3 linked regions of the Schizosaccharomyces pombe genome follow. The gene in region 1 interacts genetically with each later gene. Each region holds a gene or a part of one and is shown on either strand. Other genes may lie near its edges.

What was found.
Region 2: mutations in atd1 (region 1) and slx4 impair growth when combined (synthetic growth defect), as found in Schizosaccharomyces pombe (2 studies listed by BioGRID, with this or other methods).
Region 3: mutations in atd1 (region 1) and fml1 impair growth when combined (synthetic growth defect), as found in Schizosaccharomyces pombe (one study listed by BioGRID).

Annotation. Positions count from the first base shown.
Region 1 is NC_003424.3:4,451,643-4,458,283, reverse strand, and holds atd1 (aldehyde dehydrogenase), read left to right. Parts: upstream 1-2,626; 5' UTR 2,627-3,212; coding exon 3,213-4,724; 3' UTR 4,725-5,004; downstream 5,005-6,641. Other genes in the region: ATR checkpoint kinase regulatory subunit Rad26, read right to left, coding at 5,215-5,643, 5,699-6,364, 6,420-6,641.
Region 2 is NC_003424.3:3,116,166-3,122,367, forward strand, and holds slx4 (structure-specific endonuclease subunit Slx4), read right to left. Parts: upstream 3,009-6,202; 5' UTR 2,836-3,008; coding exon 2,782-2,835; exon of another isoform or gene 2,698-2,781; coding exon 1,492-2,697; 3' UTR 715-1,491; downstream 1-714. Other genes in the region: glutathione S-transferase Gst3, read right to left, coding at 1-630; protein Rng10, read right to left, coding at 3,214-6,202. UniProt on the Schizosaccharomyces pombe protein: Regulatory subunit of the slx1-slx4 structure-specific endonuclease that resolves DNA secondary structures generated during DNA repair and recombination.
Region 3 is NC_003424.3:1,467,714-1,476,989, forward strand, and holds fml1 (ATP-dependent 3' to 5' DNA helicase), read left to right. Parts: upstream 1-3,120; 5' UTR 3,121-3,346; coding exon 3,347-4,795; intron 4,796-4,840; coding exon 4,841-5,670; exon of another isoform or gene 5,671-5,726; coding exon 5,727-5,952; 3' UTR 5,953-5,978; coding exon of another isoform or gene 5,979-6,172; 3' UTR 6,173-6,225; coding exon of another isoform or gene 6,226-6,392; 3' UTR 6,393-6,439; coding exon of another isoform or gene 6,440-6,499; 3' UTR 6,500-6,550; coding exon of another isoform or gene 6,551-6,628; 3' UTR 6,629-6,667; coding exon of another isoform or gene 6,668-6,691; 3' UTR 6,692-6,746; coding exon of another isoform or gene 6,747-6,826; 3' UTR 6,827-7,195; coding exon of another isoform or gene 7,196-7,336; 3' UTR 7,337-7,386; coding exon of another isoform or gene 7,387-8,186; 3' UTR 8,187-8,234; coding exon of another isoform or gene 8,235-8,394; 3' UTR 8,395-8,562; downstream 8,563-9,276. Other genes in the region: Tf2-1 (retrotransposable element/transposon Tf2-type), read left to right, coding at 1-2,135; SPOM_SPAC9.06C (5'-methylthioribulose-1-phosphate dehydratase), read right to left, coding at 5,979-6,172, 6,226-6,392, 6,440-6,499, 6,551-6,628, 6,668-6,691, 6,747-6,826; SPOM_SPAC9.07C (GTPase Rbg1), read right to left, coding at 7,196-7,336, 7,387-8,186, 8,235-8,394. UniProt on the Schizosaccharomyces pombe protein: ATP-dependent DNA helicase involved in DNA damage repair by homologous recombination and in genome maintenance. Capable of unwinding D-loops. Plays a role in limiting crossover recombination during mitotic DNA double-strand break (DSB) repair.

The sequences.
Region 1 (6,641 bases):
TTGAAAGTTTTGCTTATCAGATCTTTAACGCGCTCCAGTACGAAAAAATGGCATGCTTAAAACAACAATACAATAATGTGATGAGTAATAATATGGGTTATTAAAAAAGTAAATTGGAGAAACAAAAAAATTAAAACATTGGAAGAGTGTATAGTTCTCACGGTTTTGCGTTTTATGTGTTTGAATTTACAAATTTCAGTGATCTTCGCTATCTTGACAAGTTGCACAATGGAAATTGGCACTGCGACCATGAGTAAAATAGTTTGAATTTCATTTCCAAATTTAGTTGCGATGTTTGCGAACAAATTACTGAGTGATTTGAATGTAGAGCAAAGATGATTAGTTAGAAGAAACAGATAGAGGGAAAAAAGAGAAGAGTTAATAATTGAAATAAAATAAAAATAAAAAAAGGGAAATAAGAAAGCAAAAAAAAAAATTTTATTAGCTCTTGAAAATGTGGATGAAGCACTTCCAAATAGTAAAATTTGATTAGGTAAACAAACCGAAAAGAATAAAATGAATGCCACCGAAAAAAAAAATGTATGCAAAAAAAAGAACAACAAATGGAAACGAAAAAGATTTTCTAAAGCAATATCAAGAAAAATTTTTTAATTCATTCTAGTCTTCCTTAATCAGCGTCGCATTTCGCATATTCAATACTTTCTTTCATTTTCCTTTGTTGCATGCTTTATACCATAGCAGGTTATGCACTAATCACATGGACTATAAACGAAGACAAATGTCCGAAGGTGGTCAAAGTGCGAACCGCTTAACGAACCTTAACACAACAGTGTCAAGAGAAAGCTTCGCATGTTGAAAATTTTAAAAAGACGCAGAAAGGATACTTTTGCAGTAGCAGCAATAGGTCGACCAAAATACTGGCTCATAGAAAGTAGTAGTATTATATTTATGATGCTAAAGAGGTTGCTAATTAGGATGCAAGCGATGGGAATATCAAAGAAATGTAATAAAGAGTAGTAGGGACAAACACTCAAGAAATAGAATTTTATTTTATTTTTTTATATTTTATTTTTCTTTAGTAACAAATGGAACTCTGGTTCGTTAAGTGAAAACAAAAAAAAAAGACACGTTGGCATAAAATCGACTCACATTCATCAATCAAGACCAACTTTGAAACACATTATACTGCTACTACTACTACTACATTACAACCGTTGTGTTTTTGTTTTACAACTACCAATCCAGTCAATCCCCCACATAGACCAAAATCTCCCACACACGTGAACCCCAGTCCAAGTCTTCACCAGTCCCCTCCATCCCACCCTTTCCTAGTCTTAACGCTCACCCTACCCCCATAAGGATCGAAATCCCCCACTTTGCGACTTTCAAAGTACTGGGCGGAAACTGGCGTAGCTAATGTCTAAGATGTCAGCGTAGGTGGCGAATTTTAGTGTCTCGGGTATATCTGTTTACACAAGCGTTTGCTACTATTACCAATTCCTAAATACAGAATAATGGTTTAACCAACCGCTCGATAAACTCTGTTTCCCATTTTTTTACTCTCATCGCTTGGCCATGATTCGCTTCGCATGCATTAAAGTAATTACGGCACATTGACGTAATAAACCTTATTTTGAGGTCGTACGAAAAGAGCCCAACTCCTCGCGGCCGTAGTGGACGTGCGGGTCAACAAACCAAACTAAACAAACGCTATCAGAAGATTAAAGTTTCTTTTGTTATGCATATGTATGAAATCCCACTTTTGTTTGTGTATCAACGTTTATGCTTGGTTATTCAACGTAATGGCTTATCTACGTTTATGCTTTCCATTCATTTATCCACGTTAAATGCCGCACGTAACGTACCATGATAAGAGATGTTTTGGTAGGGAAAATTCAAAGGGCCCAGGGCCGAACTTCTCGTGTTGATGGGGCAGGAACGTGTGAGAAGGGAATTCGCCATAAAGCAGAGAATACTAACAGTTACCAGTGGGTCGAAGCTAACAAAACCAACAAGTTGAGCAAAGCAAATGAAAAGCGAGTTTGGGATTTTCGGAGAGCGAAAGAACATGGGGTTTCCTGCGAAAATGACCCATTTTGACTAGATTAGCCCAAGGTGCTCCCATTTTCTCAGCGCATCGCATTCTTTGGGAAATAAGAGAAGGAAGAAAATTTAAGAAGCGAAAGCGCACTATGCAGATGGCGCTAGAAGTTGCTTTGCTTTTTGCTACTAGACTAGACTAGGTTGGCTGGCATCGGAGTTTCAACGTCGTTCGTCTTTCATCGTTCCTCGTTTGTTAATATCAAATTTTCGATATAGTGAATTGTATTTCCGAGTATGCAATTCCCTCTAAAGCATATTACTATTGCACAGTGAGATTTGGGAGGGAAGCTTTGCGTACGCTAGCACATATGAAATCTTGTGATTTTTGAGGGTGTCTCTTCCTTTGATTCGCCAAAATTAAGCATTGACATCATGGGGTAAGGTGTCCTGTTTTGTCATTCGTCGTTGTTTGAATTAGATCATGTATAGGAAATCATTCGTCCAGGTGTCGGTCTTTTGTGTCACCATTAATCAGTAGGAGTTGGAGCTTTGTTTACTAATCATCGTATAAGTCATATATGATTTTTACTATAAATATTGAATTCGCCCCCCTTTGCAGTTCACTGAAATAAGTAGAACAGCACGGTCTTTTCGTTTCTACAACACGCTTGCTATTCTCTTATTAGTATATTCCTCTATCTATAGTCTTTCCTTCACTTCCTACATCCAAATTGATATAGGTTTCCTTTGTGGTATTATTACTAACAACGACAATTGATTGTTTTAATTCATTGATTTTGTCGTCTTTCGGTTTTTATCACATTTTATAAAAACTGCATCCCCCTCTTCTTAAGAATAATAAGAGGCCATTGTTTATTTACCCCGGTCCTTTTCTGACCATCTAATCTTTTCGTATTAGGTGCTCTTTTACTTATAGTTTGGTTTCGCCCATAACTTTTTGACGACGTTGTTTACTTTGGTTGATATAAAATTATTTTATACAATCGTTAACACCTCATATTTTCCATTTCATTACTGATCTTTTGGTTTTGTCCTGTGTTTGCATTTCAATTCAGCTCTGCCAAATTTATCCCACTACTTCATTTTTTATCTTTGGTTTTTTTTTTTTTCTAGTTAATTTTTTAATTACTCTTACTCATTTACGACAACGACCCCTTTTCTCAATTTTTTAATACAAACTTTTCAAAATGTCTACAAAACTCGTTGATCACGTCGAAATTACCGTTCCTACAGGAAAAACTTACATTCAACCTGTCGGTCTCTTTATCAATAACCAACATGTCGATTCCGTTCACGGTGGTCGTGTGAAGGTTTACTCTCCTTCTACTGAGAAACTTATTTGTGAGGTAGCTGACGCCGACGAAGAGGATGTCGATATCGCCGTGAAAGTTGCTCGTGCCGCTTTCCAGACCGATGCTCCATGGCGCAAGTTTTCCAGCGCTCAACGTGGACGTTGCCTCTCCCGTCTCGCTGACTGTATCGAGCAAAACTTGGAATACCTCGCTTCTATTGAGACTCTTGACAATGGTAAGAGTATCACTTTGGCTAGAGGTGACGTTCAAGCTGCTGCCGATTGTTTCCGTTATTATGGTGGTTGGGCCGATAAGGATTATGGTCAAACCATTGAAACCGACATTAAGCGTTTTGCCTATACTCGTCACGAACCCATTGGTGTATGTGGTCAAATCATCCCCTGGAATTTCCCTTTCTTGATGTGCGCTTGGAAAATTGCTCCTGCCGTCGCTTGTGGTAATACTATTATTTTGAAGACTGCCGAACTCACTCCTCTTTCCGCTCTGTGTCTTACCAAGTTTGTTCCTGAATGTGGCTTCCCTCCAGGTGTCATCAATGTTCTCAGCGGTGATGGTCGCCGTTGTGGTAACGCTATTAGTTCTCACATGGACATTGATAAGGTGGCCTTTACCGGTTCTACCGGTGTCGGTCGTATGGTTATGCGTGCTGCCGCCTCCTCCAACCTGAAGAAGGTCACTCTTGAATTGGGTGGTAAGTCTCCCAATATTGTTTTCAACGATGCCGATTTGGACTCAGCTGCTGTCTGGACTAACTATGGTATCTTTTACAACTCTGGTCAAGTCTGTTGTGCAGGTAGCCGTGTCTACGTGCAAGAGGATGTTTACGATGAGTTCATTAAACGCATGGTTGCCAAGGCCAAGACTTTGAAGGTTGGTGATCCTTTCGCCGAAGATACCTTCCAAGGTGCTCAAGTTAGTAAGCAACAGTATGAACGTATTGTTAGTTATATTGAGAGTGGCATTGCTCATGGTGCCAAATTAGAGATTGGTGGTAAGCGTCATGGTAATCTCGGTTACTTTGTCGAACCTACTATTCTCTCCAACGTTACCGAGGACATGGCTGTCGGTAAGGAGGAAATTTTTGGACCCGTTCTTGCCGTCATTAAATTCAAGACCATCGAGGAGGCCATCCGTCGCGGTAACAACAGTACATATGGTTTAGCTGCTGGTGTACACACTAACAATATTACCAATGCCATCAAGGTCAGCAATGCTCTTGAAGCCGGTACTGTTTGGGTGAATTGTTATAACTTACTTCATCACCAAATTCCCTTTGGTGGTTATAAGGAGAGTGGCATCGGTCGCGAATTGGGCTCTTACGGTCTTACCAATTATACTCAAACAAAAGCTGTTCACATCAACCTGGGAATGGATTCTCCCATTTAAGGAAATCAGACGCAAATATTTTTTGTAAAAAAAATAAAAAAATATGCATTCAATGGATAAAGAATGAAGAAAAACTCTAGTGAAGAGAATTATTGGATTTTTCTCTTTATGTTATGAATGTTTACAGTTTTTCTTGAAACTCTTCTATGACGGATTTTCTTTATTATGAATCAAAACGGTTTTGATATTTGAACTTTCAAATGCATTTTATTGAATTTACATAGTGATGATTCTTTATGTTAGTGGTACTTTAATATATTCATTTTCGTTAATTGCTAGATGATTTTATTTGCAGGTAAATATAGCCGTAAGTTTTACTAAAAGAACGGAATGGGGATGTTTTTGTGGTACGCATTCCTTTGGGGAAACAGATTGATTTGTATTTAATTTGCGAGGATGTGGGTGCGGGACGGGAAAGAACAACACTGAAGAAACAAGTATCATTATTTCATTTGAAAAATTAGGGAAATAGATTCATCTGTTTCATTATCTAAAAATTAGTGTACAACTGCTCCAGCTCTTCGGGAGAGACGCAAACTTCCAACAATTCTGTAGTGAGAAAATACATTTCCTCACCCAAATTGCCAAACGCTTTTTGTTCAGTATCGCCGAATGCGCAGCATGCTATTGCATAAACGAAACGAGGTTGTAACGCATTTTCAGCTAACATAAATTTTGATGATAAATCTTCGGAAGATAAAATGTACAGAAGCCGAACAAGAGATACTAAAATCTCTACGCATTCATTTTGAGGGTACATTGACGAAAGGAGTTGCTGATGATACCAAGTGATGGCTAGTCCGATGCATACTATTAAGGGATTGCATACTTTTAAAATCTCTTTACCAATGTTTCCAGACATTTGTATAAACACGGTAAAAAAGGATATGACAAAGCGATGAAGCGTTATCCATTCATTCTAATTTGTTAGAAATAAGCAATGCAAAGATTATAAGCACAATTCGTAAACGTACCAATTCAGGAAAATTAATCCTTTCCCTAGTAGTAACAACTAAAATATGGGCCATAGTTGTGAAAAGTTGCATGAGTGATTCTTGGGATTTATCATCGGCATTTAACAAGTTAACTGAAGCGCAAAACGAAGGAGTGGTGGAACTAATAATTAAACAAACACCACATTTAATCAAAGAAGGAGCATTTTGCACTCGAATGCAGGATTCGAATAACGACGGATCAACCGCTTTAGTAATGTTTGCAAAGTCATCAGCACTTTCACGTGCTATAGATAAGTATAAATAAAGAAAATCTATTAAAACGTAAAACTTTGAGTCCAAAAAATTGCTTTTTTCGTATTCCTTAAGAAGAAAACCACTTATTAAAGAAACGACATTTTCCTGAAAGATAAAGGTGGATGATTTAGGGTCCAAAATTAATAATGCATTAAACAAAGATGTTATAGCAAAGGAGGCATTATATAATAATTTTTTCATTGAATAATTTAAAATCGACGATGATGTTTGAACGACAGATTGTACATAATTGGAGGAATCCATAGATAGATCGGGACTGTATATTAGAGCTTTCAAGTTATTAAACAAACATTCACCTTCCTCCTCTCCTTCAATTGTTTCTAATGAATGCATACAACCACCAAATACGTATGCTAAAGTTCTAGAAGACTAGAAAAGTAAGAAAAGGGAATAAAATTTAACACGACAGTTTAAAAATACTTACAAAATACAAATCTTCTCTTTTTTGTAGAGAAAGTAAATCTTTCATCAGGCTCAAAGACAAACTTGCATCTGATATAGCAATACTAGAACTCACACTATCCGTTGAAGCATCTTCAGCAGTAGCAACACTTGTTTTGCGCTTCTTTTTAGAAGGGCTGTTTTTTGCAGCATGCTTTGTGCTCTTAGCAAGCTGATCAGAAGAAGATAACAATTTATTGTCACC
Region 2 (6,202 bases), 1.3 Mb from region 1:
AGCAGCAATTCGACATGCAGGCCTATCACTGACAACCCGCATCCAACGCTTAATATTTTTGTAAGGTTTCTGAGATAGGTAATCTCTTTGAGCAGCAAATATAGGAAAGCACATCTGCGGGTCCGCAGCGGTGAACTGTTCGCCTGCAAAGTATTCGTTCGATGCGAGGTGATTATCAATGTAGTCAAGGTTCAAAAATGTTTCTTTACTTAGATACTTGGATTTTATCCCATTCACAAACTGGCGAACAATATAACGAAAGAAAATGGGAGTCATGTTCACACTAAGATCCAAAACATGACTTGCCCAAATAAATGGCATAAGAGATGCTTCAGAAAAGTGCATCCATAATTCATATTTTTCCAATTCGGCAACATCCTCTTCTGAGGGTTTAAATGACGGTCCATACTTTCTGACCAGGTGCTCCAAAATGGCTGCACTTTCAATGTAAGTGACACCGTCATCGACAACGATAGGACTCTTGCCTAATGGTGACAACTTAGTATACGCTGGGGGAGCACGTCCGTCGACACGGTCATAAACTTTGATTTCATAAGGCACTTTGAGTTCTTCGAGCATCCATACAATTCGAGTAGAGCGAGAGTTCTTTAAGTGGTGTAAAACAATCATATCTGGTTACAAAAATAAAAACAAAATCAAATTGAATACTCAAAATAAATACTTTCTAAGATGCAATAATTTCGATCAAAGAAGGGAAGTATGTGGGAATTGGAATGTATATATGGGTGCTGCTGCGTCTACACCTCATATGCACGTCAGTCACCGAAATATATAGTGGCGTATGCAACAAATACGCAAAACACTTTATGTTTGCTTAAGAAAAAGATACAGTAGATATAGGAATGAAATAACATCTTCATTTGAATTGCTATCACTAGTCCGTCATGAGCCCGCTGTAAAGGTGCAGTACTAGATTTATATGAAAGACCAATTTTACTGTTGTAGTCAGTACATTTATACTAAAAGAGCAGCAGTTGGATTTACTTGGCATTCTGACTGACATATGAAAAGAAGTTCAGTGGTTGAATATCACAATACAGAAGCCATATTTTACATAAATTGGAGTTACGGTTTTTTCATAGTTAACAACGTATACTGCCTTGTAAAACGTGGTGTTAACAAAAAAGTTATAGTACTAAATTTGTATACCGAATATTCCAAAATAGTTCATAGACAAGCTATCTCAAACAGTTCAAACTGTTTCCAAAGACCAAGCAAGATATAATGATTAGTTTTTGATTCCAATAATATATGTTACTCGTTATAACACATAAAAGATATCTTGATTTTTCCTCAGCACTGCTGCAAAGGACGATTCTTATCTAAAACAGGACTTGAATTGACTTAAATCTAAAGCTGGGTTGTTTGCTGTTAATTTTGATGCTCAAAAATCCAAAATCTTTTTGTAAAAATGATATTGTTTTGCTTTAAAAACCATCAATTTTCACTCAAAAATCACTGATTAGCTAGCTAATGCCAACTCCCTTTCATGAGTACTCCATACTTATCGCACCAAGACTTTATAAGATCTAGCGAAACATTTAAATTTTTCCGCTTCAGCCAAAGTTGAAATTCTTCCACATCAATAGCAGAATACGTAAGAATTTTAATCCACACACTATTGTCTTTGGCTTGCTTAACAACTTGCGAAATTGCTCTATGAGTCTGTGTCACTATATCATCAAACTCCAATACTGTTTTAGTAGAAGTTATCAAATAATCATGGGGAGTTTCTTTGCCTAATTTTTTAGACTGAGATCGGCTATCGATTGCATCCAAACAAGATTCTACTATCTTAATGAGAGTTGCTTTCGAATCTGATGATTTGAAGCCATAACTTTCCGCTATAGCACGTAATTTTTCAACCGGAAAATTCTCCAACTTTTCTTTTAATGATTTAGCTTCATTATCAGCGTTTTTGTTAGTGTCCATGTAACCGGCATAGTTTAACAGGGTTCTGCTACGGTCATTAAATTCACATGAAGTAAACTCTTTAATATTGTCCGTTTTTTTTTTCTTATGTGTAGCACTATCGCCTTCAAGAAACGAGTTTGACTGACAAGTTGAGTCTATTGAATGACCGGCGCTTGGATGCCTTTGCTGAATTTCATCAACGGTGGAAACAGAAAAACAAACGTTTTCAGTAGAATTAGCCGATTCACAAAGTTCTTTTATAAGAGGACTCCTGTTGGCTTCAATTGATTTATTTCCTAACTTCTCTAAAGATTTTTCGAACAATTGAGGCTTCCTATGGTAATAAAAACCACTAGAAGATATTTCTTCCCTATTTGAGTGATATGCAGAGTGCTCGAAAGTATTTCTGCATGAAGCACTATTTTTAATTTTGCTGTATCTAGATAAAAGGACATCATTATCTTCAGCTACCCGAGTGTTAAGATCGGGTTCTAAGATATCTGATTCATTGTCGCTAAAGGAAGAAAAAAGAAGAGGGAGATTTTCAGTATCAAAATCTTCTTCATCCACAGCGTTTAAGTTGTGCTCATGAACCTTATGTCCCGTACAATTGTGATGCACAAGCTGTTGAGTAGACTCAAAATCACATTTAGAAGTTATCAGCCTAATTTCACAACATTCAGTAACAGATCTTTTTCGTTTACTATTACAATCTTTAGGGTTTTTGTTTAGCTCTGGCTCTATTGTTATCATGTCATCATCCTAAAGCTCAGTTAATATACATTTACTTCAGTTCAATGTAATATTTCTAATCATTTGCTATAGAATATCATATTTTTTTCATACGTCCGTGAATATATCAGGAGAAGATGATACCTCAATGTATTCTTCAGCCGACATCCATTTAATGAAACTTAGCTTGAAAGCAGCGTACTCAGAATCCTAAAACACCAAGAAAACGAAAGAATATCCCAAAAAATGATGAATATTTAATTTCGATTGTTTTGTTTTGTGTACTAGCCTGAATTTGTCGAAAGTTTTTCGTCCAGTTTCTTATTTTGGTTTAGACAAGTGGCAGCAAAACCAGAATATGCTTGATATTTTAACTCATCGTCTGATAAAAATAACTAAATGGTTTCACAAAAATGCGCAATACGAAAATGAAACAATATTTAGATAAAATCTTATTGATTGAAATGCAATGCTTCGTAAACAATACATAAATTAGAAAATTACAAAAGAGAGAAAAAAGTTAGGTAAAAAGTGTATGCAAAAGATTTATGATTTGAATCCCAATTTTTTTCCGAAAAGAGTTTTCATCTTTTTGGATTCTTTGATAGAGCTAGATGACGACTTGGCGTTTGATTGTTCACTTTTTGCTTTCTTCTTAAACAAATGTAAAATATCATTAGCAGCAGATTTAGACTTCTTTTTTGCTTCAGTAGCAATGTTGTGAGTTATAGTAACAGTTGACCTTGCAGGACTCAACGAAGGCTGCGTAATTCTTTTGGCAAGTTTGGTTGTAGTTGAAACTGGCTCAGAACGAGGAGGAGGAGGAGCTTCCTTTGGAGCCTCACCATCTTTTTCTAAGCAAAACTGAATCCAATTATCAAGGCCCGAATCGTATGCTGAATATTCTTGAATCTTTTGATTGAAAAAGTTGTAACGTTGATCGGTAGAACCTAATTCACCCAATCCATCGAACGACATCAATGGACTCTTGACAAACGCATCTAAGGTAGCAAAGTAATTTAAATTAGTTTCACTATTATCAGCCTTTTTGGAAATTCCAGAAGAAACAGCATCCGCTGAAGCACCGGAGTTAATGCTAGGAGAAGTGGTCGACTGCTGAGTTGAATTATTTTCAGCACTTTTAGAATGAGAAGATAAACCTGTCGTGCTTGTCTTTAGAGATAGTGTGTCTCGTTGATCCTCTTCCTGAACGACTATTTGCTTGTTGGGTTTTGGAGGTTCTGGCAAGGATCCACGGCTTAAGGCAGCAACTTCTAACTCATCTCTATTTAATGGTTCAGAGTGAGACTTATGTGTACTGGAATTACTGGATATTGAAACTGCATCGTGAGCAGCTACCACTTCGACCTTTGTAGTTGTCGTTTCTTCAATTGCGGGAGCCTTTGAGTTACTTGACTCAGTGTGAGAAGTAGTCGCTTCAACAATAGTTGGAAGACTAGTTTTATATGGATATACGTCTTGTTCTACAGAGGCTATTGTATGTTCATCGTCAGATGACCCCTTAGTCCAAAAAGGGTCTTCGGTATTCAACTTGGTAAGAGCTGGATCGGGCTCCTCCGAAAGATAACCATAGATACTTTCCAAGCTTTCTGAGTTTTTCAATAGTGCTCCTTCCTCTAGGGAGTTGTTAGAAACCAAAGAAGAGCGTGGAGATCCAACAACAGAAGCAGCTTGAGGTTCAATCCCTTGCTCGACAGAATTGGGTGATGTATCTCCTTTCACATCAACTTTTTCAAGGTTCGATTTTGAAATATGTTTCTCAGCATTGTCCTGAAGTAGATTGGAATTACTTTGAGTTTTTCCAACAAGGGTATATTTTGACGAATCGACAGGCAAATCGACAGCGCTGTCAGAAAAGCTATCAGGTATTGAATCGATAGAGCTGATAGCATCAAAATTTCGCAAAATACGACTATGAGTACCCGGTTGTTGGGAGAAAGAAGGATCGTTCGTAACTGTCTCAACCTCCGAATTGGTAGCATTATTTTGTTTAAGTGAACGAATTGTGGCTACCTCATCATCCACATCTGAATCTTGTAATCGTAGTTTAAGATTTTCTTCATCCAACTCACCTGAGGGCTGCTTACTAGGAGAATAAAGAAATGGTGAATTTACAGAAGTTATAGATGGATGATGCTCCGGTTTTGAGAGGTTTTCATCCTTCTCCTTTTCAGCATCGATTCCAAAATCGTTAGATAGTGAGTCCGAAAGTTCTTCCTCTGGGTTTTGCTGCGGAGACTCAACAAATGGAATAGACAAGCTATCAGTTGACTTAGTAGTTTGTAATTGCTTGACATGAGTGTCAATATCTGTTCGAGAAAGCTTTTCATCAGGACTAGGTATTTGTTCAAACTTCTCATTTGAATGATTCGAGTGTGAGCTTGTTATAGAATACGCATAACCCTTATTAATAATTTCGTCAGTTGGTTTCAAAATTGTATTAGTAGTCATGTTCGTATCTCCCTCCTCGACTTCTTGAACAACCTCAGATTGCTCAATTGCTTGTTCCGTAACAGGCTTTGAACTAGTTTCCAAAGTAGCTTTTTCACTCGTATTATCCAATTCATTGGCATCATCGTTAGCGGTAGAAACAATATCTTCTTTCACATTATTAGCAATTTCTACCGCCTCGGCAGAGTCCGGCAAAGTTTGCTCCATTAATTCGCTATCTAGTACTGCATGATCGTCATTAGGAGATTTCTTATCGTTCAACGAGGAAGATAGGTTACTAAGCGTGTCCCCAAAGAAGCTGGTATGCCTATGATTAGGTTCATATACGACGCTACGAGTTTTTGAACTTCTGGAAGAGGTAGCCCTGGAAAAATTGGAGCCACTACCAGTCTCTGCAACTGAAGCAAATGAGAATCGGTTCTTATTTGGAGCACGAGCAAATACGTTTGATTCATTGAGCTCTCTGACACTTGAAAAACTATCTCTACCCTTGATAGGAGGTAAAGACTCGGGTATTTCTTCAGCCTTTTTATACCTAGAGAAACTTAAAGGACGGATAGCAAGATCCTCTGCTGGACTTGAAACAGATCTCCTCTTTACATTTAACTCTCTTCGATTTTCCATTTGTCGAATATCCGAGACCCTATTATCATCTTGACTTTGAGGTTGAATGGCTGAAACTTGTGATGATTGAGATGAACGGGTGCTAGAAGATGCCATGGAAGATTTGTAATCAATCGGCTTAGAATTTGGATCTTTTCCTAATTTCTGTAAAAGAAATCTCCTCTTTTCGGCCCATAACCGTGCACTTTCATCAGCGGAGACAACCTTAGTAGCAAGCGTCTCATGGCTACTAGATGCTGCTTTTCGGTAAACAAAAGTGCCAGGGTATGAAAAGTCATAATTCTCGTTCTCACTTTGCTCGCTAAAGCTACTTGCCTCGTTTTCAATATCATCCTCTTCCTCCTCTTCTTCTATAATGCGATCGGTTCCGTCAGAATTTAATTCCCTTTCGGGATTCTTTCCGATATTCTCACTACTGGTGAGATTACTTTCCTTATCC
Region 3 (9,276 bases), 3.0 Mb from region 1:
GTCAAGAAAATATAGACAAAGTCTTACAATGGAAGCAACCTAAGAATCGTAAAGAATTACGACAATTTCTAGGTTCTGTCAATTATCTTAGGAAATTCATTCCAAAGACATCACAATTAACACATCCACTCAATAATCTTTTGAAAAAGGATGTACGCTGGAAATGGACACCAACACAAACCCAAGCGATAGAAAACATTAAACAATGTTTAGTTTCTCCTCCGGTGCTACGACACTTTGATTTCAGTAAAAAGATTCTACTGGAAACTGATGCTTCAGATGTCGCTGTAGGAGCCGTATTGTCTCAAAAACATGATGATGATAAATACTATCCTGTTGGATACTATTCAGCAAAGATGTCTAAAGCACAATTAAATTATAGCGTATCGGACAAAGAAATGCTTGCAATCATTAAGTCTCTCAAACATTGGAGACACTATTTAGAATCCACTATCGAACCTTTCAAAATTTTAACAGACCATCGAAACTTAATTGGTCGCATTACTAACGAATCCGAGCCTGAAAACAAACGTTTAGCTCGTTGGCAATTATTTTTACAAGACTTCAACTTTGAAATTAACTACAGACCTGGATCAGCAAATCACATAGCTGATGCCTTATCCAGAATTGTTGACGAAACAGAACCAATTCCAAAAGATTCAGAAGACAATAGTATCAACTTTGTTAATCAAATCTCGATAACCGATGATTTTAAAAACCAAGTGGTTACAGAATATACGAATGATACAAAATTGTTGAATTTACTAAACAATGAAGACAAACGAGTGGAAGAGAATATCCAACTCAAAGATGGCTTACTAATTAACAGTAAAGACCAAATCTTATTACCTAATGATACTCAGCTGACTAGGACAATTATTAAAAAGTATCATGAAGAAGGTAAATTGATTCATCCAGGCATTGAACTTCTTACAAACATTATATTACGTAGATTTACGTGGAAAGGAATAAGAAAACAAATACAAGAATATGTACAGAACTGCCATACATGTCAAATAAACAAATCTAGGAATCATAAACCTTATGGACCTTTACAACCAATTCCCCCATCAGAAAGACCTTGGGAATCTTTATCAATGGATTTTATTACAGCTTTACCAGAATCATCTGGTTATAATGCACTTTTCGTGGTAGTTGACCGATTTTCAAAAATGGCAATCTTAGTACCTTGTACGAAATCCATTACAGCAGAGCAAACAGCTCGAATGTTTGATCAACGAGTTATTGCTTATTTCGGCAATCCAAAAGAAATCATTGCAGATAATGATCATATTTTTACTTCCCAAACGTGGAAAGATTTCGCACATAAATATAATTTCGTTATGAAATTTTCGTTACCATACAGACCACAAACTGATGGACAAACTGAGCGTACAAACCAAACTGTGGAGAAATTACTAAGATGTGTATGTAGCACACATCCAAATACATGGGTAGATCATATATCCCTAGTGCAACAATCTTACAACAATGCGATACATTCAGCAACTCAAATGACACCTTTTGAGATAGTACATCGCTATTCACCAGCTTTATCACCTTTAGAGTTACCTAGCTTTAGTGACAAAACTGACGAAAACTCTCAGGAAACGATCCAAGTATTTCAAACAGTTAAAGAACACTTGAATACAAACAACATAAAGATGAAAAAGTATTTCGATATGAAAATACAAGAAATTGAAGAATTTCAACCTGGAGACCTAGTTATGGTCAAAAGAACGAAAACAGGTTTTCTTCATAAATCCAATAAATTAGCACCTAGTTTTGCAGGACCGTTCTATGTGTTACAGAAGTCGGGTCCAAACAACTATGAATTGGATCTTCCAGATTCAATCAAGCACATGTTTTCATCTACTTTTCATGTTTCTCACCTAGAAAAGTATCGACATAATTCAGAACTCAATTACGCTACCATTGATGAGTCTGATATTGGAACAATTCTTCATATCCTAGAACATAAAAACAGAGAACAAGTACTCTACTTAAATGTCAAGTACATTTCGAATCTAAATCCGAGTACTATTATGTCAGGATGGACTACATTAGCTACAGCGCTACAAGCGGACAAAGCAATTGTCAATGATTATATTAAAAACAATAATCTAAATATCTGAGAACATATGACTTATCCTCAGATTTACATAGAAAATCTTGGGGAGGGCAATGTCAGCAATACTACACTACGCTATAATACACTACGTTGAGTATCACTATATGTCACATGTTCTAATTATATATCGTACCATGTATGATACGATATGGAGATTGATCTTAATGATAATCTATTAAGATCAATATTATCTGAATACTATAAATAGAGCTACTGCTGAACCTCGTTCCTCAGTTCAGTTATGAGCTATATTAGTGATAGGTAACATTATAACCCAGTTAATACAATACCTATACTCAGTTGCTACTTATACAACCTGTGTATTGTAATATAATAGATCACAAGGAAAACTCACCGCAGTTCTACGTATCCTTAAATCAGATACCAAACTGCGTAGCTTACAATTTCATAGAAGTATGACCTTTGAACAAAATCACTATTTCACTTAATGCAGTGCTTAAATTCTTTAATTTATACTTAGTGAATCAGTAAATTTAAAATACGTTAAATGGCTTTATGGAATTTCCAAAGGAACTCTTCGAAGAGGAAATTTCAAATTATGTGATAGATTAAAGATTATGGCTATTATTCGATAAATGAGTGTTTTTTTACTCACTTGATGTGTGATATGTTACCACAAACAAAGTCCAATTTTGAAGGTACAAACATCAGAAAGTCCTGAATTCTAGCAACATTAGTCTATGTACGGACACTTTTCAACTCGTTTTACTTCATCTAGCTAATCATTTTCTTTAATCTAAGAGCCATTACATGTCTTTCTGATAGGATTTGTTCGGCTATGCTTGTTATTTGTTTATCGTATAGAGAGCGACTTATAGTGAATATATACAAAAACCATTATGATGATATACGAATTCTATATCGGTTATTAGGTGCTTCCCTAATACAATACTACACCCGCGCAATAATTCGTTATAACAAATCGTTACTGAAAAGACATGGAATATACACATTGGCAATGTAATTTTAAACATAATTAACTTCATTACTTTCTCATGAAGTTAATTGTATCTTAAACCATTTGAGGGAAAAAACTTGTCCTTTACAATTACTTCCGACAATAAAGGACGCTTTGCAGTGAATGTCTTATGGAATTGTTGTATTTGACGACTGACGAAACGAAGTACCTTAGCAAAATTCGTTTTTAAGTAATTCCAGCTAAATTTTTGCTAACAATATAAATCATTGATAAGGATGTCCGATGATTCTTTTAGTAGTGATGAAGACTGGGACGAATTGGACACCCAAGTAGTTGATAAAATTGAGAATGAATATCATAATAACACGATAGGTTTAAATGGATACTCAGTTGATGAATATTTTGATGCCAACGATTCCAATAGATATCGTCTACAACACGAGTTAGATGAAAGTGCAGCACAGCAATGGGTATACCCTATAAACGTCTCCTTTCGAGATTATCAGTTTAATATTGTCCAAAAAGCTTTATTTGAAAATGTACTTGTAGCTTTGCCAACAGGTTTAGGTAAAACATTTATTGCAGCCGTTGTGATGATGAATTATCTTCGTTGGTTTCCAAAAAGTTACATTGTTTTCATGGCTCCTACTAAACCATTGGTTACACAACAAATGGAAGCTTGCTATAAAATCACTGGAATTCCAAAGAGTCAAACTGCTGAATTAAGTGGACACGTTCCTGTTACAACTCGAAATCAGTATTATCAAAGTCGAAATGTTTTCTTCGTAACTCCTCAAACCATTTTAAACGACATCAAGCATGGAATTTGCGATCGGACTCGTATATCTTGTTTAGTAATTGATGAAGCACATCGTAGTACTGGAAATTACGCTTATGTGGAAGTTGTTCATCTACTTTCTCTTAGCAACAAAAATTTCCGTATACTGGCTCTTAGTGCTACCCCCGGAAATAAGTTAGAAGCAATTCAGAATGTAATTGATTCTCTTCATATATCCAGGATTGAGATTAGAACTGAAAACAGCATTGATATATCGCAATACGTTCAGAAGAAAGAGGTGGATTTTTTTCCTGTAGATTTGTCTGCAGAGATTACAGATATAAGAGATCGATTTTCTTCTATATTGGAACCTATGCTTCAAAAATTGAACAAGGGTAATTATTATCGAATTCAGAATGCTAAAGACATAACTTCTTTCACTGTGGTTCAAGCTAAACAAGCTTTTCTTGCAATGTCTGGTCAAAACTTTCCTGCTAATCAAAAATGGGATATTTTAAATACTTTTGATGCATTAGCGACTTTTGCCTATCCTTTAAATTTGTTACTCAACCATGGTATCCGACCGTTTTATCAAAAATTGCGAGAGGTAGAAGAAGAATGCTTTGTAGGAAGATCAGGTTATAAGAAACGCATAATAAATCACGAAAATTATCGTCCTTTAATGGACGATATAGAAATTTTGTTGCGAGATCAGTCTTTTGTCGGACATCCCAAACTAGAGCATTTGGAACGTATTGTTACAGAATATTTTGAAAAAGAACAAACCAAGGATACCAGAATTATGATTTTTGTTGAAATCCGCTCTAGCGCCGAAGAGATTTTACGATTTTTGGGTAAATTTTATCCAAATGTGAGACCAGCTATTTTTATTGGACAATCTGCTGTGAGAAAGGCTGCTGGAATGTCTCAAAAATTACAGAATGAAGTATGTAATCTGAAAATGATGGATCCTTAACTAACTAATCTCTAGACTGTGAAACAATTTCAAAAAGGTGAAGTCAATACTTTAATAGCTACCTCTATTGGAGAAGAGGGTTTGGACATAGGTGAAGTAGACATGATCATATGTTACGATGCATCTGCTTCTCCTATAAGGATGTTACAAAGAATGGGCAGAACTGGGAGAAAAAGGAAAGGTTATATTTATATGCTTTTGACGCGAGGCAAAGAAGAAGCAAAATGGGAGAGAGCCAAAGACGCTTATCGAACTTTGCAAGATAATATTGTCAGTGGTCGCGGTCTCAGCCTATCGGAAAAAAGTTATAGAATTTTACCAGAAAAGTTTCGCCCGGTTTGTGATAAACGAGTCATAGAAATTCCCAAAGAAAATGAAGAAGTTGTAGTAGCTCCAAAGAAAGTGCAATTGAGAACGAAAATAAAAAAGAAATTTTTCATGCCAGAAAATGCCTTGAATGGATTTATTACTGCGTCCGCTTTAGGTAAACCGAAACGTGCTTTAGCCAAGTCTGAAGAATCACCGTTCGAGATATGTCCCGTTACATATAGCATTGAACAAGAAAAGAAACTGGAAAAATATAAGCGTGTTTGCTTAAGAGGTTTGGATATTCATAGAAATAGGAGGTTATCTCAATTGAGTGTTACAGGACGGATACCGCATTCTCTAGCTACGAAAAGTATACATTCATTTTTAAAGCATTTAAATACTATAGATTCGCAAAAGGCTCAGGAGTGGAGAAGAGAAATAAACAACCAATTCCAAGTATCAAATATCAACTCGACGGATCGTGACACAAAACAGCCAAAGATGCATGACTTTAGACAACCTTTACACCCAAATCCGTAAGTGTTTAAACTATTGAGTTGTTTAACGATAATTACAGATTATTAACATACAGGATGACAACTTTGAAAAGGAAAGGACAACATAATTCATTTTCTTACGACAAGTCTACACTGTTTTATGACAACAACAATAATTTAGAGGAAGACCTCCCGGATGTAAATATTTCTATATCTTCAAGGAATGAAGAAGCATCCAAGACAAAACCATTTGACGACCGACAACAACGCCTTCAGCAACTCGTAGAGAAAAGGAAACGTATGAAAGGAATGCTGATTTAGAGAATTAAATAGTGTTTAGAAATAGCCTACAACGTTTTCAATTTGTAGTCTAACTCAAAAAGATATTCGTAGCATTCCATTTGAGTTTTTGATTTTTCCCATGTTGCTCCCCAACCGATAACCCCATGTCCACGAATAAGAACAGCACATGTTTGTGGATAAAGCTCGATGACTTTTTTTAGTTCATCTAATATTGTTTTACTATCGCCATTGTGGATAACTACATAATCAGTATTCAGATACCAGTCAACACCAACAGAAAACACAACTTACTAGGAACCTCTAGAGTATCAAAACAGCAAAGATAGCCTGCTGAAGGATTTCCCTTTGGAATTCCTTTGATCATTTCCTTAGATTGTGTAGTAAATTTCTCATTATACATCGATGCTCCGACTGCAGCGACTGAAGTAGAATATATACAGGCTACTGCATCCATATTACTTTTGATGTGTTAAAAATTGCTGTAAATAGAAAAAATGATGCATACCTCAAAACCCATGAGAAAATGTAGGCCCAATTGACTAAATCCTTGGTGACTGACTGATTGCTGTATAAAAGGTTAGATACTAATTGGAGCTGATCCAAATGAATAATTTACCTTAAATTAAAGGTCACGATATCGTTTTCCGTTATGAAGTCTCTTTGAACCCTGTCCTTAACGCAAATTGCATAACCACTAAATGTTAACAAAATCGTTTGAATACCGTACAATTACTTGTTCTTTAGACAAAAGTTTCCACTAAATACCAATTAGCTTTAAAAAATTACTGAACATTAAACGTCTTGAACGCTACCTGCCAAATTTCATCCATCCAAGACTGTAAAAATGAGGAATAAGTTCAAGAATCAAATTTTTCTCTAATTGGAGACTCATTCTTCTAAAATTTTCAACTTTAACCTTTAAAAGTTCCCGTACTATACTCAGAAATGATTTATTTAATGATCGGTTCTTTCAGCAAAGTGAGTAGCGTTTCATAAGTTGCGTTTGCAAATTTGATATTAAAAAGTAATTGAAGGAAGACATATGTCACAAAACACTCTACACAATCATTCATTAAGCTTATAATACACGAAAACTTTTACTTTAAAGAAAAAACAATTTGAACAAATAACGAAATAAATTACCATCTAAAATTTTAAGTCATTGTAACCCACCTATTAGAGTAACCAGTTAAATAAGTTTTCAGGCCTATATATTCCAATACTGGGAAACCAAGGAAAGTAAGATGTTAGGAAAAAAGACTTATTTTTTGACAATCGTCACTACATCCTCATCCAACAGTACATGAGATAAACCAACACGCATGCCAGGATAAGGAACGCTTTTTCCCCAAACATAAGCATGTTTAAACTGGGATTTGATACTTGAATGAATATTGTTACACTAAAGAAGTTAGCAACACGAAGATCGGCAGAAGCAATTCGAAAACTTACAAAATCCTCGACAGTAGAATGGCCAGTACGAAGGATAACAGGTTCGCTGTAATCAGGTTCAAGACCTCTAGGGCGTGTATAGACTCTAACCAAATTCAAATAGTCCCACATCGTTTCTTTAAGTTCGTCAATGTTCCAACCCCTGTTACCACAAATGGGTACGGCGTTAGGAATACGATCAATCAAATCAAGTTCTTCAATAGAAATTGAATCAATTTTATTTAACACGTAAAGTGCCGGGATATAAACGCGATTTCCTTCCAAGACATCAATCAAATCATCAATGGTGGCATCACAACGAAAAGCAATGTCAGCAGAGTTAACACGATATTCGCTGCAAACAGCACGAATTTCGTCCAAATCAATATGAGTCAAGGGGACAGTATTGGTGATATTGATACCACCACGTTCTTTCTTTTTGAATACAATGTTGGGGGGTTCCTTATTTAATCTTATACCAAATCCTTCCAATTCCTCTTCAATAATACGCTTATGAGACATTGGTTTCAATACATCCAAAACAATAAATATAAGGTTGCAAGTACGTGCAACAGTAATAACTTGTTTACCACGACCACGACCATCTTTGGCACCCTCGATAATACCAGGCAAATCCAAAATTTGAATTTTTGCACCATTGTATTGCAAAACACCCGGAACCGTTGTTAAAGTTGTAAATTCATATGCAGCGGCTTCACTTCTCGTTCCTGTAAGCTGAGTCATGAGTGTACTTTTACCGACGGAGGGAAATCCAATGAAACCTACAGTACCAATACCGGTACGAGCAACATCGAAACCAACTAAGAAAGATTAGTACTCCAAACAAAAATTTGACGTTCAGTACATACGCCCTCCACCACCTCCTCCACCGGTAGGGGTGATCAATTCACGTTTCAATTTTGCAAGCTTGGCCTTTAACATTCCCAAGTGCTTAGCCGTAGCTTTATTTTTTTGGGTTTTGGCCATTTCATCTTCAACTTCTTTTATTTTTTGCGCCGTAGTCGCCATTTTGTTTTTTTATTATATATGAAAATGCTATGAAAATGGTGAAAAGAAAATTCTATAACTAAGTACGTATAAGATCTTTTGCATTATTGAGTGCTAAGCAACCCTCTTTATTTTATATTAGTGTATTAAACCACATTACAACAGCCAAACTATTATTAAGATACCAGGTAGAATATCACGTTGGATCTCGATATTTGTTCCTTGTTGTAAGTAAATAAAAAAATATGTGAAATATTGAATCCAGTTATTCAATAGAATTTCATAAATAAATCTTTTTTCTTTTGCGTGTCTTTTTTTATGCGTTAGATCAATATAAAATATGTATGTATATAAAAAGTTGATAATTTTGTTTTGTTTTTCTTACACAATTTTAATGCAAATATTAAATAAATAAGATTGCAAAAAAGTAGTTGCTGATTGCGCAAAAGCTTGGATTAACAGTATTTTTTGATAAATAAAAAAAGAAATAAATAAATTTAGTATGTTCTAAGTCAACGGCAAATGAATTATTATTCAGGGGTTGAAGATAATGTCAGTTAACAAGGTTAATTATCGGGTCAGGGTAATAATTAAAAATTAAATAAATAAAAAATATCTGCGGCTGTTGCGTATAAACAGTAGACGGATGAGCAATTATCCCCAATAGCCTAAATACAAAATATAAGAACACATAGTAGAAACTACAAAAACATTTTTACCGGCAACAATAACCTCGTTGATATAGTGGTATTGTTGATAACTCAAAAAGCCCCAGCGTTTTGTGCGCGAAAATTATATTAATATTAACGAAAGCGAATATGCTGAATATGTATAAATCTGCAGAAGATACATATGTATCATTAATTTTTCTATGTACAATATTGTAAGCAACATAACTGATCG